Canis lupus familiaris: one gene and its partner. The protein of the gene in region 1 interacts with the protein of each later gene in a biochemical or structural test. Links are inferred from orthologs where the notes say so. Each region holds a gene or a part of one and is shown in the gene's direction. Other genes may lie near its edges.

The links. The genes of interacting proteins can lie anywhere in the genome.
Region 2: the proteins of CD244 (region 1) and SH2D1A interact in a biophysical measurement, tested with the Homo sapiens proteins (2 studies listed by IntAct). The link is inferred for Canis lupus familiaris from reciprocal best matches to the Homo sapiens genes CD244 and SH2D1A.

The regions. Positions count from the first base shown.
Region 1 is NC_049259.1:22,342,033-22,352,663, forward strand, and holds the end of CD244 (natural killer cell receptor 2B4), read left to right. Parts: intron 1-176; coding exon 177-284; intron 285-721; coding exon 722-789; intron 790-2,928; coding exon 2,929-2,988; intron 2,989-4,685; coding exon 4,686-4,748; intron 4,749-6,113; coding exon 6,114-6,167; intron 6,168-7,523; coding exon 7,524-7,604; 3' UTR 7,605-8,830; downstream 8,831-10,631. Other genes in the region: LY9 (T-lymphocyte surface antigen Ly-9), read right to left, coding at 9,943-10,011. UniProt on the Homo sapiens protein: Heterophilic receptor of the signaling lymphocytic activation molecule (SLAM) family; its ligand is CD48.
Region 2 is NC_049260.1:96,515,017-96,525,170, forward strand, and holds the end of SH2D1A (SH2 domain-containing protein 1A), read left to right. Parts: intron 1-1,147; coding exon 1,148-1,211; intron 1,212-6,397; coding exon 6,398-6,542; intron 6,543-7,563; coding exon 7,564-7,604; 3' UTR 7,605-9,261; downstream 9,262-10,154.

The DNA.
Region 1 (10,631 bases):
GGCCTGCCAGATATTAAGATCCGTGCTCTTAGCATCACTCAGGGGAGGTCACTCAACTGCAGAGAGAGCTGGCCTGATGGTGAATTTGTGGGGCGTGAGAGGGGAGTGCAGGTTCGCACAGGTGCGAAGCAGGGAGGCGGGCTGACAGCTCGGGCCTCGTGCTTTCCGGTCCCTAGAAGACAACTTCGTGTACTTTCTGGTGATCGTCGGCATTTGTCTACTCATACTGTTCCTGGTCACCCTCACCTGCTTCTGTGTGTGGAGGAGGAAGAAGCGGCAGTCAGGTAAGTGGAGGGTCCCCAGGAGGTGCTGCTGCTGACCTGACGCCCCCGGGGCCGTGCGCCTGAGAGCACAGCACCTGCTTTGCCTCTGGAGCGTTGGGACATGGCTGTGCATGTTCGGGGACCCGCAGCAGCAGATGCTGGGCCCTGGCTCCCACGTCACACCTTCGGGGCCCTCGGGATGTCCACAGCCTCACGGGCCAGTTTAGCTGCAGGTGCTGGGTTGTGGGGGACCTGCCTGCCCGGTGCAGTGTGTCGGGTGGTTGCTGCTCCCGCGCCCTGTGGGTACCCTGGGGAGAGCGCTAATCTGCCTCCTTTCTAGAACCTTCCTCAAGGTCTCGGCCACCTGGGACGGAGGTGGGACTGGAGGAAGCAGAAGCCTGGATGGGATACCCTCTGGAAGTCTCTCCAGCTCTGTCTTTGCTGCTTTCCTCCCACAGCGGCCTGCCGGGGAGAGCCTCTGACGGTTTATGAAGATGTCAACCACGTGCAGATGGGGAGGAATCAAGTAGGCCGGGGGCTGGGGTCGGTCTCCTAGCCTGGGGGTGCTTCTCGGGCGGCGGGCAGGAACCGGGGGACACCGGGTACCACGCAGGTGGCTTCTCAAAGGGCTCCCCAGCCCCGGCCTGCCCTCCCTATGGCCTCCTGGCTCCGGCGGTGGAGGAGCAGCAGCAAGCGGGAAATTGCTGAGAGGGCGGGAGCCCAGCACCCCCACGGGGCGGCGGGGGCGGGGCGGGGGGGGGGGGGTTGCTGCTCCCGCTCCCTGCGCAGCCCTCGGGGCACCGTCCCTGCCAGGCTCACCGGCGCACTAGGCCCCCAGTCCGGCTCCCTTGTATCTGGCCACGGCCTCTCGTGTCCTTGCAGGTCCAGGTTCACCTTTAGGGGTCCCTTGCTGGTCGCCCTGGCTGCAGCAGACGGCCGCCTGAGCGGCATGGGGGTGCTGGGGCTCTGGGGGTCCGCGGGGTGCTCCCCCCAGGCCGGGGTCCCCCGGGGTGCTCGAGGCAGCAGGCGGGTCAGCACAAGGCTCCGGCCTCTGCGAGGCCAACTCTTCTGGGGGTGGGGGGTGGCTGCAGGGGTGGCTGCGGGGGGGGGGGGGGCGGGCTGCAGGGGGGCGGCTGCAGGGGCCTGCAGGGGGGGCTGCGAGGGGGCTGCTGGGAGGGTGCGGGGGGGGGGGGCTGCAGGGGGCTGCAGGGGGGGCTGCGGGGTGGGGGCTGCAGGGTGGGGGCTGCGGGGTGGGGGCTGCAGAGTGCCCCCTGCTGCTCTGGCTGAGCAGGGCAGGAAGTGGTCCAGGCGTGGGGGGTGCAGAGCCTAGCTGAACGTGGAGTGGGGGGCGTGGGCCCACGGGCCCCTTCCCACCTCCATTCTGGGTGCTCGACCTGAGGAGGTGAGGCAGGAAGTCACAGGGGCGAGATTTGCCACCTTATCACGTGGGAGGCCTGGTGGAGCGGACAAGCTGCTTCCTCGGGTCTGGTCTCAGGGGGAACCCGGCTGGGGTGGGGGGGTAGGGTGGGGGGGGTGGGGGGTGGACTACGGGGGTGACAGGCGAAGGAGACCCTTTCTCCATCACTACCCGATGCGGACAGACTCCTGAGAGCAAGAGCATCCACCTGCAGCGGCGGAAGCCCGAATGCTCCGGATGACTTGCCTCTCCTCCCACACAGGGAGGACGGTTTTAGGTTCAGGAAGTGAAGACTAGTGGAGGGAGCCAGAGTACAAGGACTCGGGGATGCAGGCCTGTCTCTGCCTCTGACTCCAGCTCCTCCTGCGCGGCCTCATCCCTTGCGGGCTCCTCCCTACCGGCTCCAGGGTTGCGTCTGAAGGCTTAGATCTCGAGTTCATGTGTTCTTACTGGGGGCTCAGTTCTGACCTCTCTGGAGACACTTCACTCAGGTCTGGGCAGAGAAGCAAAGCAGGAAAATCCTGTTTTTTTTTTTTTTTTTTTTTTTTCCCCCAGATGTCTATGACTTTCTAGCCTCTAAGGATAGTGAGGTTTTCTCTGCTCCTCTAGCTCCTTCCCTGTCTAATGGACCCTGCTGGCTTCCTCTTGTCCCCTTCGGAGCCCCACCTGGCAATGTGCACTCAGGGCTCCTGTGGTCAGGAGGGGCCAGGACCGGGATGGTCTCCCTGCCTTTGGCTCCAGGTCCAGGGGTTGTTGTGGGGCAGCAGGCCTGAGGCCCAGGGCAAACTGGCCCCCAAGGCCGGGCCTAGAGAAGGGGCTTTAAAACAATGAAAGCTTCTGAATTTCAAGGCCCGAGGTAAGGCTCAGATCACAGCCCTACTCAGAGCTCGGCCCATTATCAGTGATTAATGAGGCCAATTTGGCTGCGAAGTCAGCAGAGGCAAGTTTCTAAATTACCAAAGTAAAGCAAGTGATAGGATTCCCCTTGGACGGGTCACTCAGTGCATCTCTTCACACCTGGGTGGTTCCTTGGGTGGGACACCAACTACTCCAGGTGGGACACTAACTACTGCAGGTGGGTCATTCCTCCTATGGTCTCTCCCCAGCCTGTGGCAACTAATGACCACCTCCCTTCCAGCTTCCCGGAGCCCCTCTGGTTTGCTCTCTCTCTCCCCACCCCATCCAAATCTGGACAGACGCGGCCCTCCGCTCACGTTACCACGTGGCCCTTTACTATTTCTTGTGCAGGAGCAGAACCAGAATCCGCCCGGGGAAGGGAGCACCATCTACTCTGTGATCCAGTCCCAGGTACCACTCCGTGTCTCGGATCCATCCCATACCTGCCTCCAGGGCTCCCTGAGGCCTTCCGGAAGCTCACACTCCTGAATAGCAGGACTCTGGGGCTCTTAGAGTCTAGAGGACAGCTTGGCCTCAGCTGCATTAAATTGAAAAGATCTGTGTGGCTCTGGAGTCTCTTGGCAGAGCTGAACAGGGCTGGGAAGTCTGACGTAGATAGGCCTTCTCTCTCCCTCCGTGCGTGGCAGCAGGTGTGGCCCAGGTAGTTGGGAGGAGGAGGAAACTTGGCAGGGGACTCAGCTTCTGTTTTTCCCTCCCTGCCACTTCCAATACTTGGGGCCCTTATAGGTTGTCTTTGTTTTTTTGATCTCTGCTCCTCATTATACCTGTTTTCAGGAAAGAGGGTATCTGGGTTGTTCTCTTTTATTTTTCATGACTTAACAATAACATTTATTAGGTACTTACTATGTCTGTTTTCCTAACGAATCTCACATAACAGCCTCACGAAGTAGGTCCAGCACAACCTCCATTTCTCAGATGAGGAGCCAGACACAGGTTAACTAATGTGCTCCAGGCCGCAGAGCCGGGGAGTGGCAAAGCTGAGCTAGAGGGCTTCTGGGCCTCCGCCCCACCTGCCCCCTTCCTCTTTCACTTTCAGGGATTATAGAAATTCACCATAAACTGGAGAAGCATCCTCTAATTTTGACAGCTAAAATAACATTATCGCTAACCCAGACTGGGGCATCTCTCTCGAGGGGAACGCTGCCTCTTGGTGGCCAGTGATGAACAATTTCTGATAAATATAACTTATTTCTTAAAGAATTCAGTCCGGACGCAGTAAACTCTTCAACGTGGTGGCTAAACTGCCCGGCAAAGAAAATTCCTGGGGAAATGGTGATAGGTTTCAGGGAATGATCTAGAGAAGGAGGAAGAGGAGAGGGGGAAGGGAGGGCAATGAAGGGAAGAGGAGCTGAGGAAGAAGGAGCAGAGGAGGGAGGGAGGTGCTCAACCCTCACAGCCACTCAGGAATTCCCAAGTTGGGGACTGACTCCTTCTGCTCCCCGTGATATTGAGATTTACTGATAGTGGGGTCAAAGCTCAAGAGCCTTAGGGAGAGAGCAGGAGTGGCTGATATCTGCCAGTTTTCTAGCTTTAGCCACATTGCATCCCAACAGGAGGAATCTGAATAAATGCAGGGAAGAGCTCATCTCAGCCTGAGATGCTGAGTGATAAGGAGCCTCCTCCTCTGGACCTTCTTAGAAGGAGGGTGGTTACCTGCCTTTGAGGACACCTGGCTCAGGTGCAGAGAAGGAAGGCATGTTGCCAACAGGATGTACTAAGGTGTTGAGGAAACACCTCTGGCGAGTCTGGGGTTTCAATTCTGCTTCTACTGTGACTACACCATCTGACTTGGGTTATTTATCCTTTCGGAGCCTCATCTGTGGAGTGGGGCCAAGGATGATCATTCCTCTCGTCGGTGTGTTATCAAGGTTAGAGGAGAATGCGTGTACAGACTAGGTGACATCTTAGCGGACAGGGCCGGACTGGCATTCAGGTGTCTGACCTCCTGAGTCCAGGGTTCCTGTGGCTAATACTTCGGGCTTCTCTTTGGGCAGGGCTGGGGGGAGGGGTGGAAGAAATGGCCTCTGAGGGCCCTAGGATGCTGCTGGGTCTATGTTCCTGAAATACTTTATTTCTCTTCTCTTTAGTCTTCTGCTCCTACATCACAAGAAAACAATACGTTGTATGCATTGGTACAGCCTTCCCGGAAGGTGAGTCTCCTCCTCCAGGGCATGCTGCGAATGCAAATGTGGATTTTGCACGTGCACGGGAGGGCCACATTTGCAGAGTGCGTGGGCAACTTCCGTGAGTTGCCTTCCGTTGTGTATATCTAAGCAGTTTGGGTTAAATGGCTCTATTTAAATGAGGAAGAAATGCCTTTCTGATTGCGTTTGGAGAAAAAGAACAGCTCTGAGACTAAGCCAGCAGTGGATTAAAGGAGTCTCTAGGAGTTTCTGTGGGACAAGAACAATCAGAGATAGAAAAGTGGTGCTTTGTGCAGAGAGGCTAAGCTGTCCTTAGCAGGCCAACTGAGGTGACGGCAAGAGATACTAGAGGGGTTTCCAAGGTGGGGGAATATAGCCCAGAGCCAGAGGAGTAGCCCAGACCTAGAGAGACACAATGTTGACTTTCAGGGAACCAGAGAAATGTTCTGACCAGTCATCTGCTGGTGGGGGCCTTGGGGCTGAGGCAACCCATCACTGTCCCCTCAAATCCTGCTCTGAGCTGAGCTCACAGGTCTTTTGTGTACCTGGTGCTCATTAGTCATCTTTTCCCCTTGGGTGGGAGAGGGATTGGAAGAATGGTATTACCAAGGCTGGAGTCATAGTATGAAGACCTAGACTTAACATGGTAGTATGAGAAGTTAGGAATATGCCAAACTGTGGAAGTGTTGAGTACATGCAGGTCAGGGTCAAATGTGGGAGAGATTTAAGACAGATTTTTCAGACTTTTTATTCACCCTCCTTTCAATAAGTTATTCAATCGCTCAAGATTCTGCCATGAGAGACATTTATAATTAAGTTACCTGCTGCAATACGTGGCCATAGGGATGGTCACAGGCTTGGTGTTGTTTAGGAGATTCTACATTCTACTGAAAGTGCTTCTGAATTCCAATGTTCCTAGGGTTTCACCGTGGTCAGGGTATGTGGTAGGGTCAGTTCTTATGTGTGTCCAGAACTGCTTACACTAGGGGTGTGTGTGTATGCTCTGTGTTGATGAGATGCATGGTCTGAGCAGTATTTGTATCAGGCCTGTCTGAAGGCGTGTGTGTGAGTATGCTTGTGTGTGTGCTGGGAATGTGTGCATGTGCGGATCTGAGGGGCACGTGGATATGGGAGAGTAACCTCTGACTTTGGTTCAGAAGGTTCATGTCACACACAAGTATGTCTTGTGTCTTCTCTGGAGGTCATAAACTCCATTACTTACTCTTGGGGCAGGAGATTCTATTCTATTCTATTCTAAAATATCCAGAGATTTTTTTGGACCTTGTGTCTCTTCGGGGGCCTCTCACATCAGTTAGGAGTGGGATATTTCCCAACTTGAAGTTAAGCACTCTTTACTGTCTGAATTTGCAGTCTGAATCTAAGAAGAACCAGAGCTCTTCCTTCAGTCATACTATCTATGAAGAGGTAAGATTCTGGAGCTGCCTTCTTTTTTTTTTTAAAGATAATATATTTATTTATTCATTAGAAAGAGAGAGAGAGAGAGAGCGCGTGCATGAGCAGAAAAACAACAAAATAAATTGTTTTATTTTGGAATAAAAGGAAGCAGGCTCCCTGCTGAGCATGGAGCCCAATGTGAGGCTCAATCCCAGGACCCTGATGAGATCATGACCTGAGCCAAAGGCAGGTTCTTAACTGACTGAGCCACCCAGGCATCCCCGAGGGATCTTCTTACCCACATTTTCATTTTAAAGATAAAGAAACTGAGGTCCAACGAAAGCAAGGGTCTAATTCAAGGTCATATCATGTATTAGGGTTGGACTCTTAATGGGGAACTTGAGTTTTATTTTTTAAATGTATTTTTGTTGTTTTATTATCTCCATTTTAAAGATTTTTATTTATTTATTTGTTATTTAAATTCTATTAATGAACATATAATGTATTGTTAGTTTCAGAGGTAGAGGTCAGTGATTCATTAGTCTTACATTATACCCAGTGGGGAGCTTGTGTTTTAAATTAGGGCTGTCCTCCAGCTAGTCTCCAGTTGTGGGCTGTACACTGGACATCTGTCCCTTCCAAGGGTGTATGGGGCAAGGGTGAAGAGAAGGGAGGGTAAGTAGAGCTAAATGATTTTCTGAAGTTAGCAAGTAATTGGGAACCATTCTAGGGCATAGGTAATCTTGAGCTGCTGCTGGGATAGACACTATAGAGTGACCATTGAGCCTGGTAGCTGAATATATTCCCATCAGGCCATTTAAGTAATGGAAAATAGGGACTCAACAGTTATTAGGGGCGTATTATGTATTTGGCAGCCTGCTAGTGGCTTCATGCGAATTATCTCATTTAATTCTCATAGAGTGCCATGAGGTAGGTATAATACTTCCCACTTTTACCAGAGAAATTAGGGCATGGAGGGCACTCCCACCCACTAGCCTCATGATACACCAGAGTTTCCAAGGCCCAATAAAGAGGCTGCCAGTGGTCACAAGGGACAGGGTGGATGGGTGCCTGCTGGGATTCCTGGCACTTCAGCTGTAGCCTCACATTAAAGCCAACCAGACAGACTACGGTTGTAGAGGACACCGCGTGGGCCAACGCAATCTAGGCAGGGTCATGTTAAAAAAAAAACACTAGAATTGGAGCCAGAAGACCTGGCTTCAAGCTCCTCCTTTACTTCCTACTAGTCATTGACCCTGTTATTTATTTAACTACTCCAAGCTTCATTTTCTTTATCTGTAAAATAGGGATAATAATTCATACCTCCCAAGGTTGCTATGAAGATCTCCAAGTGGGAGGTTCTGAAGTTCTCCTTTTCTTTCACAGGTTGGAAAGAGACAACTCAACGCCCAGAACCCTGCCCGGTTGAGCCGCAAGGAGCTGGAGAACTTTCGCATATATTCCTAATTGCTGCAGCTGTTCCCTCTCTCACATCCCAGCATTGCTTGGGGGAATCAGCGCAATGGATGATACCACAGGAGTCTACAGAATGGGGCGCAGTCCAGAGAGGATACGGGAGTTTGTTTATAGTCTGTATCTTGTTTTGAAAGTGATTTCTAATAAGAGCAGGACTGTTAAATAATATCTCTCAACTTACAGACTGGACAAGAACGGGTAGACAGGTTGGGTAGTTCTTAAAAGACCGCAAAGCAAATCCAAAGCCGCACAGCAAGTTTATCAAGTGCTATGCAAATGCAGGGTGCTGTTATTATTAGCATCAAGATCCCTTCCCCTGGTTTTCTAACGTGTTACTCATCTTTCCTCCTCTCTAATCTGGAATGACCATATTTCTAGACCCTCCCCTTGCCCAGGCCCATCTTCCAAAGAGGGAGGAAAGATAATGGTGACTCAGAGCAAGAGAAACAGCTCCCCTCTGTGAGGATGGACTAACTAGCTACAAGCTGCTGGCAGTTCTCCATGGAGGAGGCTGGGGTTTTACTCAAATATAGGGGAAAAACTTCCCCCCACATATTAAACCTTTACCTCTGGCCACTTGGTCACAGCGGAGAGTGGGCAGGAGTGAGAGTAGATGGCGCAAAGCAAGCTGACCTCTGAATGGAAAAATCACCCCGAGCCCATGCCGTCCTGATAATGGGACAGTGAGACCAGCTTTGTCTCCGGTATGAGGTTTGATTTACAAGAACTCATCGTTAGAAATCTATTTTAGCTTCTTCGCAAATTCTTCACAATTAGAAACCATATTCTATTTAAGTTCTAAGCCCTGATGAGTGCTCCCCATGGCATATGCTGGAGGAAGGGCTCAGCTGGCTGAGCAGCTGGGAACTAGACAGTCTGCTGGGCTCCCCTGAGTCCTCAGGCCAGACTTCTGCAAGGCTGTGGTGACCGGGGCTGAGACTCTGGCTGGGCCCAGGAAGGCGATGAGTGTGAACTGGAAGAGGTCCTACTCAGAGACCCCGAGCAGTGGCTATTGCATGGAGCCTGCTTCTTCAATTGCCCCACTCTGTATTTAACATAGGAGTTTAATATAAAACTAATATAAAATGGTTATTCAAAGGCAATTGAAATTTCTTTTCTGAGTTAAATTTATGTGCCCCTTCCATATTCTTTACTTTACCTCTCTGTAGTAACCGAAGGGCACTTGTGCCCATCAATAAACCCATGTCTTTAACCTACTGGAGAGAGGTCTGGACTCCTTGTAAACCATCAGTGTCTCCCAGTCTTCTTCACACTGGAGCAGATGATTCCAGATCCCCAGATCCCAGGCCATTCAGTCTCATGGCAGATAGTCACAGCTTGCACTTGCTCATGCCCTGCCTGGTCCCTCTCCCCTGGGGGCTGCTTGGCTATCTCCTGGAGACAAGTGAGGACAGACCACATGAGGAGAGAAGTTCTTTGGGGGTAAATAAGGGAAGCTTATATGGAAGAGGCATTTTAAGCATTTAAAAATACATCAAAAGAGTGATACACATATATGGTTAAAAGCAGAAATGCAGACTACAAAAAAGTATGCAGTAAAAACAACAACCCAGTACAGTCCCTGGAGGCAGCCACTAATACATATTTTGTATTTCCTTTCGGAAATTTTGTATAACTATATAAATATATATATGTATATATATGTATATATATATATGTGTATATATATTCACATTTCTTCTTTATTCAACTGGTAGCATGTGATACACACTGCCCTGGAGTTTGTTCTTTCCATTCTTAGAGCTCATTCCATATTAGCAGGTACTCATCTTTCCTGTCTTTACAAAAGCAGCAGGGCTTGCTGTCGCATGGGTACACTATCATGCATTTAGCCGGATTCCTACTAAATGGACTGTTAGGTTATTTCTGTCCTCTTATTTTAAAAGGTATTGCAGTGGACATGATTTTACATAGATCTTTGTGTCCGTGAGTGAGAATGTCTGTTCGATTCGTTTTAGCAGATGTTTAGAAGATGGTGTGAAGGTCTAGGATCCTTGCAACAACACTGGACCAGTCTTGGCAGAGCTCTGAGTGGTGTGTATCTGAATTGGGAAACTGTATGAGCACTCTTGGAGACAGATGGAGCGGGGACGTCTTGAAGGCCGGGGACTCCAAGATGGAACCTGTGTCTGATTTATTAATGGGCTCAGGAAGTCATAGGGGTAGCAGGAAGGGGGTGGGTCAGATCCAGGCATTGTAGAGACACTGAAGGCAATTCTGAAGTGTTTCTGTCTCTAGGAACTCCAGGCCCCATACTGTCCAGCAGCCTCTCCAACTACAGGGGTAGAAGCAGCAGTTGCTTTTCTTTTCAGGTGAAATTTTCATAGGTAGGGATTTCAGGAGATTCAGGATCATTCTGTTGTGGTGGTGGCACCACCTGTGAGCCAAGAGACATAAGAATATGGTTAATAAAGGCTGGGAGGCTCTAGCATCTGGTGAGAGAGGAAGGTCAGCCTGGGCTAAGACTGGTCCACGCTGTAGGAGTCAGGTCGTATGGACTGATCTAGGGGTGGGACAATCCATCAAGCTGATGGCAGGCATTTACGGAGAATCTCCTTTTTTTTTTTTTAATAAAGATTTTATTTATTTATTCATGAGAAACACAGAAAGAGAGGCAGAGACACAGGCAGAGGGAGGAGAGGCAGGCTCCATGCAGGGAGCCCAATGCGAGACTCGATCCTGGGAATCCGGGATCAGGCCCTGAGCCAAAGGCAGATGCTCAACCGTTGAGCAACCTGAGCATCCCAGTGGAGAATCTCCTAATGGGAGGTTGGCTAGGCTCTCTGTAAGGAAGATAGAGAGAGGTTTAGTATAGCAAGTCAAGGGATTACAAAACTGACAATAAAAGGGCTTGCTCTTAAAGCCTTTTATATTACATATAGATCATAAATATATATAAATAAAAAATATATTATATTTATTTATTTGAAAGAGAGCACAAGCAGGGGGAGAGGCAGAGGGGAAACCAGGCTCCCCATCGAGCTGGGAGCTGAATGC
Region 2 (10,154 bases), on another chromosome or scaffold:
AATTTTTTATGGTATTTTGCTATGGGAGCCAAAGCAAACTAATACAGCATATAAAACTCTTGGTATCGGGATCCCTGGGTGGCTCAGTGGTTTGGCATGTGCCTTTGGCGCAGGGCGTGATCCACCCTGGAGTCCCTGGATCGAGTCCTGCATTGGGCTCCCTGCGTGGAGCCTGCTTCTCCCTCTGCCTGTGTCTCTGCCTCTCTCTCTCTCTCTCTGTGTCTCTCATGAGTAAATAAATAAAGTATTTAAAAATTTTTAAAATGAAACTCTTGGTATCAATTATACAGTTAGACAGTATGCTTGCACATAAAACAATGGTGGCGAATGTTTACCCCAAAGGACAAGCTGCTTTCAAGTACTTTAGCAGGAGTTTTTTTAAAAATATTTTATTTATTTATTTTTGAGAGAGCAAGAGGGAGAGATGGAGAGAGCAAGTGGTGGGTGGCGGGGGTGTGGGGGGAGCGGCAGAGGGAGAGGGACAAGCAGACTGTCCTGAGTGCAAGGCCAGACAGAAGACTCCATCCCATGATCCCAAGATCATAACTTGAACTGAAACCAAGAGTTGGATGTTTAACTGACTGAGCCACCCAGGTGCCTCAGGAGTCTTTTTTTAATTCAAATTTGTTTTCTTACTATATTATACTGTAAAGTAACCATAATAGTTGTGTTATAGAAACATAGTATTATTTTTATTATATTTTTAATTAATATTATTACTACTATGAAGTGCACCTGATAGTACCTTATCCCAGTGAAATATTTTTCAGCTTAAAGCTCTATATGTACTTAAAAGTAACATGACTACACTTTGTTCAATCTATTCAATAATCCATGATTTTTACCAATTATAACAGGTCTCTATTTTCTTTCTGTCCAGTCTCTCAACTAGACAAACCCTTAGGAGTGTGAGTTCTCTTATTTTAAAAAAGGGAAAAGATAAAGAACACTCTCTAAAAATTGGGATTACCCAGATAATAATATGCAAGCAAGTTAGATCCCCCAAGAGTTTCTTCCTATGAATGCAATGGTGCCATATATGTGTGTCCCAATATATGTAACATTTATGTGGAATAGTTAAGCTCAAATTTAGAGCAGCTGTTATTCTTTTGGAATTTTTCAGTAATGGAAGTTTCTTCTTTCACAGGTATCAAGGTTATATTTATACATACAGAGTGTCCCAGACAGAAACAGGTTCTTGGAGTGCTGAGGTACAGCTCTTTTATTTATTTTTTGTTTCTGGGGGAAATGGGAAGGTGTTTGAAGTTTAAGTTGGTTTTATAAAAGAGTTGTCAAATCCTACATTCCCCAAATATTCATCAAATTCAAATCACTGAAGCTCCGACCCAAAATTGTTCATGGATCATTAAGAAGGCTTTAGAGGATTTTTGTTCCAGTTCTGTTCAGCCACCATTGTATAGAACGGTCTCACTTTGGGCGAAATATACAAAAGTTGAAGGATTGTGTCAGACTTTTAGTGCCTATGCAAAATTTTAGAAAGCGTATACAAAATGTGTAAAATGGTTAAATAAGCAATTATTTACCAGATGATACCAATATGAGCGTTGGTTCTATGGTGGATTAAACAACATGACTCCTGTTTTCTAAGAGCCTATAATACTCTCAGGGAGATACAACATGAATTAAACAGTGATGTGAGAGCTGAGTTTGTCCTCACGTAGATCTGGATTCCAGGTATGATACCTCCTCCTCCCTGACAGGTCTATAACCTTGGGCAGGTTACTTAACTTTGAACAAATTTCTTCATCTGTAAAATAAGCCTAAAAATAGTTCTTCACTCATAGGGCTCATTTTAAAAAATATTTTATTTACTTATTTGACAGAGAGAGAGAGAGAGAGAGCACAAGTGGGGGGAGCGTCAGGCAGAGGGAGAGGAAGAGCAAGAAGCAAGCTCCTTGCTGAGCAGGAAGCCCAATTCGGGCCTGGATCCCAGGACCCCAGAATCATGACCTGAGCCGAAGGCAGATGCTTAACCAACTGAGCCACCCAAGTGCCCCATAGGGCTCATTTTGGAGGTTAAATAAGATAATGCATATAAAAGAAAGCTCTTAGCCACAAGACCTGGTACATAGTAAGCCCTCAAAAATGTGAACTCACCCAGACTCTGGACAACATGATTATTGTCTAGCATAACAATGTTATGCTATGTTATCTAGCATAGGAGTTCAAAGAAGGGAGGATTTTCCAAATATTAGTAATCAAGATTGCTCTTTGTGTGGAGGCAAGACTCCCAGCTGGGCCATGTGGAAAGCACATGGGTAGGCAGATAAAATTAGAGGAAACATTACAGTGGTTTTGAAGGTATGCTCTGCAAAATCCTAAGGTTCTTCTACCTGGGTGCCTTGGGGTTGCTAGAGGTGGTGCACAGAGGGAGAGGAGGACAAAAGTGGGTATGCTTTTGGGTCCCCAATTCATCTTTGATCTGAGAGATTCACTTTTGCTTATCAACTGGGGCTCAAATAAGATTTCGTTAGAAAAATGGGTTCTGATGGCTTTGAAAACATTTGAGAGTCACTATGCCATTGCACGTAATGCCTGCAGAGTGAATCTATTTCCATGTAACAAGGTAGTATATCGCATCTTACCGATGTACAGGTCTCTACAACTGAAATTTTGACCTCAAATTCTTTCTTTGATTTCTGAGAAAGAAACAGCCTGTCTTTGTAATGAAAGCACTTCGTTATGAGTTGTTTGAAAACATAAATGCAAATAGCAACCTCTGTTAATAACTCAATCTATGAGTTTAAGAAATTCTAAAGTCTAGACTTCAAAAAAATTAAAATAGCTCTAACCTTTACAAATTCATCAGTAAATTAGAAAGCCCAAGTCGTAGACTACAAATGTTTTGAACTACAGAGATGAATTAGGGCATGTTTTAAAACACGTTGTCGCTTTATATAATAAATAAATAAATAAATAAGTAATAATAATAATTTATAATCATCACAGATAATTAATACTGTAATACTAATTAGAGGCAAAGCAGTAACACATCTAATCAAAATGACTTTTACCCATTTATATTTTAAAATTCTCTGCAGCACTGCAGAGATGATTGAATAAGAAATTAAATTTCATTTATTATGAAGAATAGCTATGTGTGATATAGACATCTATATTTGTATATAGTTTGATTAGAAATAGCCCTTCTCCCCAGAGAAGTAGCCTTAAGCTGCTAAAGAGTATTCTTTATGGAAAATGTCTTAAATTATTAGGGTTTAGCTAATCTTGTCTTTAAATTTGTTTTCTTCTAGTTCAAGTATAACATCATATGCAGATTGTTACATGATTGTGATCATGTTAAGGAAGAAAGGGCTTATTGAACATAAATGTCCTTTCATCCTGTTGTCTGGTCCGACCCCGTTTATATAATGATATTGTAATTATCTGCACCAAGAGAGCAGAAGATTGGCATGTTTTCTCCAAAGGGAAAACAGTTTTTTAAAAAATGCTTTATATTTATTTTTGTAATGCATATTGCATTTTTTCTATCTACTAAATTTGCTTTCTTAGTTATGTTTTTGCTAAGGGAATATTAAACTAGTGTGTGTTCTCAGAGCTCATATCACCTGACAGTAAGAAATTTCTCTAGAGCATATTGAAGACCAGCTGTGATCCAAAACATGTTTCCATGGATAACTAAGAGATGGCGGTATGAGAAATGTGCAAATATGAACAATAGCTGAGTTCAGTAGCAGAACGGGAGTTGTCAGTGGTATAATTCTTGTGGTAAATATATTCTCAAAACTGGTTAAATGACAGATATTTATACTGCCTTTTGGAACAATGCTTTAGTTTGCCACCCTGCAGGAAAAGTCATGGCAGTAACATTCTATCCTCTGTGCAAAGATTGTGCTAGAAATCTAAGTATATCTGAGATTTGTTTCAAAAAGTGGAATGAAATTTGAACGCTGGATCCACCAAATTATGAAAGACAAATATTATATGAATTTCTACACTAAAAAAAGGATTTTATTTATTTGACAAAGAGATAGTAAAAGAGTACAGGCAGGGGGAGTGGCAGGCAGAGGGAGAGGGAGAAGCAAGCTCCCTGCTGAGCAGAGAGCCCAACATGGGACTAGATCCCAGCACCCCCGGATCATGACCTGGGCGGAAGGCAGGCATGTAACAGACTGAGCCACCCAGGCACCCCCATGTGAATTTCTACTTTTAGATAGACTTTTAGGTTTTATCATTGCCTAGTGTATTAACTTATCTCCTGTGACTCAGTAGAATTTTGCTAAATTGTTAATTTAGAGAATTTTACACCCAATCAACTATCCTTTACTAATATGTGCATTGTCATCAGTGTATTGTAAAGAAAATGTACTAACCTCCCCTTATTGACTTCAGTGCCTTTGGGCTTTTCTGGATGTTTGATCATCGGTAGATGCTAAATAATTTTACTTACTAATCTAAGGAAAACTCTATAAATTAGGATAGTCATTTGCCAGTGAAACATTATATCCCAAATTCAAATTGTACATCTAGTGCTATTATTCCTTCTGTTTGTGTGGATAATCAAGTGTTAACTGCATATAAGTCCCCATAAAAAAGATGCTTCTGTTGATAAATGGTTTTATAAGCCACAAGAACAGCTAAAAAGATGTGTGGTTTGAAATCTTTCCACACTGGGGGAGTGAGCAGTTTCTCTTCTGGTTGGTGACTCTAACTTCTCTAGAAGCTGTTTGGTCTTATCCTCTCTGTTGGTGAATTCATTGTGGATATTGGCCTGAAAGACAAAAGACTGGGTCCTGTGATCTAGAAATTGAAAAAGTGCCATAAGGAAAATATAAGGAGGCATTTTGTGCCTATGACCTGCCTGTGCAATTTAGAGATTCTCTTGAAGCCGATGAACTGTTTGGAGCTCTGTAAGAAAAGCCATGGTATTTTGGATAAGGTCTCAAGTTGAGTCCTAGAAAGGTGCTTAAAAAATTTTTTTTTAAGATTTATTTATTTATTTTAGAGTGTAGGTGGAGAGGGGCAGAGGGAGAGAGAAAGAGAGAATCTGAAGCAGACTACCTGCTGAGCACAGAGCCCGATGTGGGGCACGATGCAGGGCTCGATCCCACAACCCCGAGATTGTGAGCTGGGCTGAAATCAAGAGTCGACTGTTCAACAGACTGAGCCACTCAGGTGCCCCAAATTCTGGGAAGGTGTTTTTGACTATAGGGGTGGCACTGAGACAGAGAATGTTCTACATCTACTGAGGCTCCAAGCTGTGTGAGCCTATGAGTGGGCACTAATTTAAAGCTAGAAAGAATTTTTTCGGTGCTTTCAAAGAAAAATGACTTGCCCCAGTGTGGGAAATGACTAAGTTACTATGGACCGCATGCTGTCTTCAGCTTTTAGTCGAGTTGGCTAAAGTTTGCATGCCAGCCTTCACGTTTTCTCATTAACTGCTAACAAACAAACAGCTCCCACCTCAAAAATCTTCCAGATGGAAGAGCTGAAAAACAGCTTTCAAAAAAAAAAAAAACCTAGTCATTGTTCAATTGCTTATAGCAATACTATTTTATTTTATGTAAAATGACAGTTTTGAGTTGATGCCTAAAGCTGAGCTCGCAAGCTTTTGCAGGAAATTGTCGTTTTCAGCAGTTCCTTTGCAAGAGAATTGATGTCAGGAAAGGAATACATTTTAATAGTCACTTGCAAATAATGATCTCTTCAAAAGCAAACAAACAAATAAATAAAGGTGACCTTATATAGTCTTTCATTTTCGTGTCATAGAGAAAACCTTGTCACGGTGAAGTGTTGGCAGAGAGCAATTTGGGGGAGGATAGGGAAGTGTCCCAAGGAGGAACAAATTTAATGAAGGATGAGGCAGGACACATTGTGAGGTGAGAGTCTAGGGACTAACTAGCGATATGTTGTGTGTCCCGTAACGGTCAATTTTTAATTTCCTGTGGAGCATTTTTATTGTGGAATGATGACAGGGAGGATGGGTTGTTGTTGTTGTTGGTTTGGTTTTTCAGGCTTTTTATTAATGACCTGTATGATCTGTGCTTTTTTCTGTGTTTAACTGCATTCTCTCTGTTGGTGCATTCATTGTGGGTAATGGCCTGTATACCCTCAGAGGCTCAGGATGTATGATGGGTAGCAGGCAGGAAGGGCAGGGCGAGGAGCAAGAGCTTGTACAAACTAATACCACCCTTGGGAGAACTGAAATGACAGCTCATTAGCTCCTCTTGCAGGGAAATTCAGCCAACCAAAGTAAGCTCTTCTAGAACTGTTGTTTTTCCTTCTTCCTTATGTTTTCAAATATTTGAACAAGTTACACAAATGTTACCTCTCTACGCATCCCTCCCACATTTTGTAGGCCTATTTGTGTCATTAGGAGATAGGTGAATAATTTGCTTGGCCTTTTATTTTCCAGACAGCACCTGGGGTTCATAAAAGATTTTTCCGGAAAATAAAAAATCTCATTTCAGCATTTCAGAAGCCAGATCAAGGTATTGTAATACCTCTGCAGTATCCAGTTGAGAAGAAGTGCTCAGTTAGAAGTGCACAAGGTACTCCAGGTATGGTTTACCGTTGATTTGCTTGGCAGCTCGGGGTTATGAGTCAACCTGTTCATAAATATATGGTTATGGGAAATTCTTTAGAAACATGCAGTGGGGAAGTAGGTGTTGCCAACCAAGCGAGCAAGAGGGGACTCTTCACAGGCTATGATTTCAATATGCTATACTGTAAGCTTTTAACAAAACTCCGGGAAAATGTAAAAAATTCGATGAGCCCACAACATGTAAACCTCTCTTTTCCCGTCATGTTCTCTCTTGACCCTTTTGTCAAGGCAGAAGTACCATTTCACTTCACTAATTTGGGCACAAAACATTTGAAAGACGGGACAGTTTGGAAAACACCTGGGCTGTCCCTTACCTGTGATTGGTAGACTATTTTCTCCTTCAGGGTTGGAAAGGCTAATGTTAGCGTGGTCCACGTGATCCTGCTTTCTGAATTTGTGGTGCTTGAATTAATGACACTTTATTGTAGAGGAGGACACTAAATTAGTACACTTTATTATTCTACAGGCACATATTGTTACATCTCCTGAGCAAAGGTACTTTAGTGTACGGATCAAGCTAACGACAGAATACTGGTCAATGTCTGCAGATATGTGATTGTCTATTCATCTACTGAAAGGGGTTAATCACTTGTTTGGAGTAAGAGGATATGCCTTGATTGAAACAATAAATATTTATGATTAGAAAAATGAGCTGTCAGGTCCTTTTTTGACAGGGACCCAGGCTCAGGCATAAATTGACAATTAGACTTAAGTGCTGAATTAAATTAATGAGTAGTTAGCCTTTATAATAGAGATGTAAATAGAACTCCAATTTACAAATTACACGTTATGATTGCAAACTGTTCTATTCTTTAGAACTCAGTTTTAAGTACTGGTTGCTTGAGCTGTATCACTGGGTTATATCTTTGTGAGCTTTATGCCGTGGGAAATTTTATGGTTACAAGTTTGAGTTAACCTGTAATTTTAATAGCTTGTGAGTTTATCTTTTCTTGATTTTCACGATTATTTTTCTTTAGGGAGAAGAGAAGATCCTGATGTCTTCCTGAAAGCACCATGAAGAAAAATCAAATACTTTGTACTTTATTTTCTATAATTTAAATATATGCTAAGTCTTATATATTGTAGATAATACAGTTCAGTGAGCTGCAAATATATTTCTAAAGCCATCATAGTCCTGTAATGGAAGTATCTAGCATCATGTAAAAGCTGAAATGGACTTTGCCAATAATGAGGAGCTTCGAAATGAGGTTATTTTCAGTTATATTTTCAAATGGGAAACTGATTCAAAACATAACGATACTTTATAAAAGATAAATGTCAATTCTTGCCAAATATAAATAAAAATAATCCTCAGTTTTTCTCAAAAGCACCATTTTTAGTGAAATATTATTTGACAGCTACTGCTTTTAAAATGTCTTGCTTGGTTAGATGGCAGGAAGCCGATTTGTGTCCCTTGTCTTTGTCCTGTGTGGTTCTAATTAGGTATTACGCTCTCCACTAGCTCTGGTGGTGTAGGGTCTTCGGGGATTTATGAGTTGTGCCCTGTGTGTTAAAAAGAGTACTGGATAAAGTGTGAAGAATTGCTCTTTAATTCTGAAAGCAACCTTTTCGCCTAGTGTTCTGATGCCGGATAGAGGACCCCATAGCCCAATCCGGAATTTAAAAATCCCGTCATTTAAAATATGTTCTCAACGTCTAGTATATTTGATATTATAGGATTTTTCATCTACCTCTGCCCCAGTTGTCAGTACTCCATGTAAAACCTTAATTTGAAAGGAAGCTCCTGCCCACGGCTGTGCAAGCGGTCTCCCTATTTGGTAGCCCAAGAACACTGGAAACCTTATGGTTATGTTGTTTTTTAACAGTTCCAAGTGATGGCAACCTAAGGGAGAGTCAAGATTTTACACAGTGACAGATATTTATATTTTTTCTCACATTTATATTTTCATGGCTTTTGTGATTTGATTCTGTATCATTTTGGGGCTCCTAGAATTTATTCACCAAACACAATATAGGGACTGGGGTACAGAGATAAATGCACCCAGCCACTGTGCTCAGGCGGCTTGCTGTCTAGTTGGACAAGAAAACAGTAACAATTAAAAAAAAGTAACAGGGAAAGACCAAAAGATGTCAATAAAAGGTGATAAGCACGGTCTATGTGAGGTTCCGCTGTGTAGGTAGATCTGTTGTCAGAGGCAGAATGAGTCAAGACAAATACTCTGGTCCATGGTCCATAGGAAAATGTGAAGTTCTATTATAAACTAATACATTGGAATTCTGGGTTGTACATGAGTGGGGGGTGGACTTGATGAGCTGCCAAGAGACAGAGCTACTCTCCGTGCACTGGCAAGATTTGGTGTTTGAGCATTTGACATGGACGCAATGAGAGTGCAAAGGTGGAATCGGGCCATAATAATGTATTGTGGGCCATTTACCGTTTCTAGAAGTAAAAGCACCACTTTAACTTGTGAAGGAATTTGGAAAGCCGACTTTCAAATCAAAATGCATATGTTTAGATAATTTTTTCTTATTTGTCGTTTGGGTTTAAATTTTAATAGGTGTATCTAATTTTCACTCTCTCTAACTTGTTCGTTCTGGAATAATCCTAAATATATGAATTATGTATGCATGTTTCTTTATCAGAGTCTCTTTTGAAAAAGCTTTTTGAATCATTAATGGTCTTTCATATTTCAATAAAGTATTTGAAAGCTCTATTTACCGAATTTGTCTTAAAATAGTTGAAAATAATATTCAGAGTTAAGTGCTATTAATATATTAAACAAAGCATTGATGAAGGCCATTGTATCTTATCGGACACATTCTCTGAAAAAGGTAAGTGCTTTTCTGAGTTTGTTACTATCAAACTTTCCAGTTGAAGTGTCTGCCCACTGTTTTCTTTTGCTGGTCTTTTACTCATAAAGTTTTTTCACTTTTTCTCTCCCAGCATAAGCATTCTTGCTATTTCCAAGTACATAATAGCTTGCGGCTTTACAGAAAGGTCATATCCTTGCCATATCTAAAATATTGCCATGCTAACATACCTGTAAGATGCTGAGTCAAGATAGAAAAATGCACGTATATTTCCAAGTGTACACCTTTCTTCAGAAAAAAAAAGTGTGTCAGCAAGCCCACAGGAACATGACAGTTTGTCAAACACTCATTCATTTCCTCTGAAGTTTGTTCTTAAGAGATAAGGTCAGTAAGGGAGACAAGCTTAGGTAATTTCAGTTTGGCTATTACAAGCAAGTAAGCTTCGTGGTAGTACGTAGATAGAATAAGGCTACAGAGGATGCCTCTGATGGAGACTTCTAGTATAAATGGAGGGCTGGATTTAAGATATTATTCGTGATAGAATGAATAGATAATTAAAAAAGTGAGAAATAGCTTTAAAAATCTGTTAAGAAGGTTTAGACATCAGCTCATGTTTTATTTGATTCACTTTATTGAGTTCAGCATCCAGAGTCTATTAATCATAAAATCCAGGTTTGCCCTTGAGCATTTCAAGGTTACAGGATGCCTAGTCTTCCTATTAGAGAGCTGTAAATTCAACGTGGTCGCCTGTGTTTGTCCTTGCAGTAAATGGGATACCATTAGTTTGGAGTTTGCA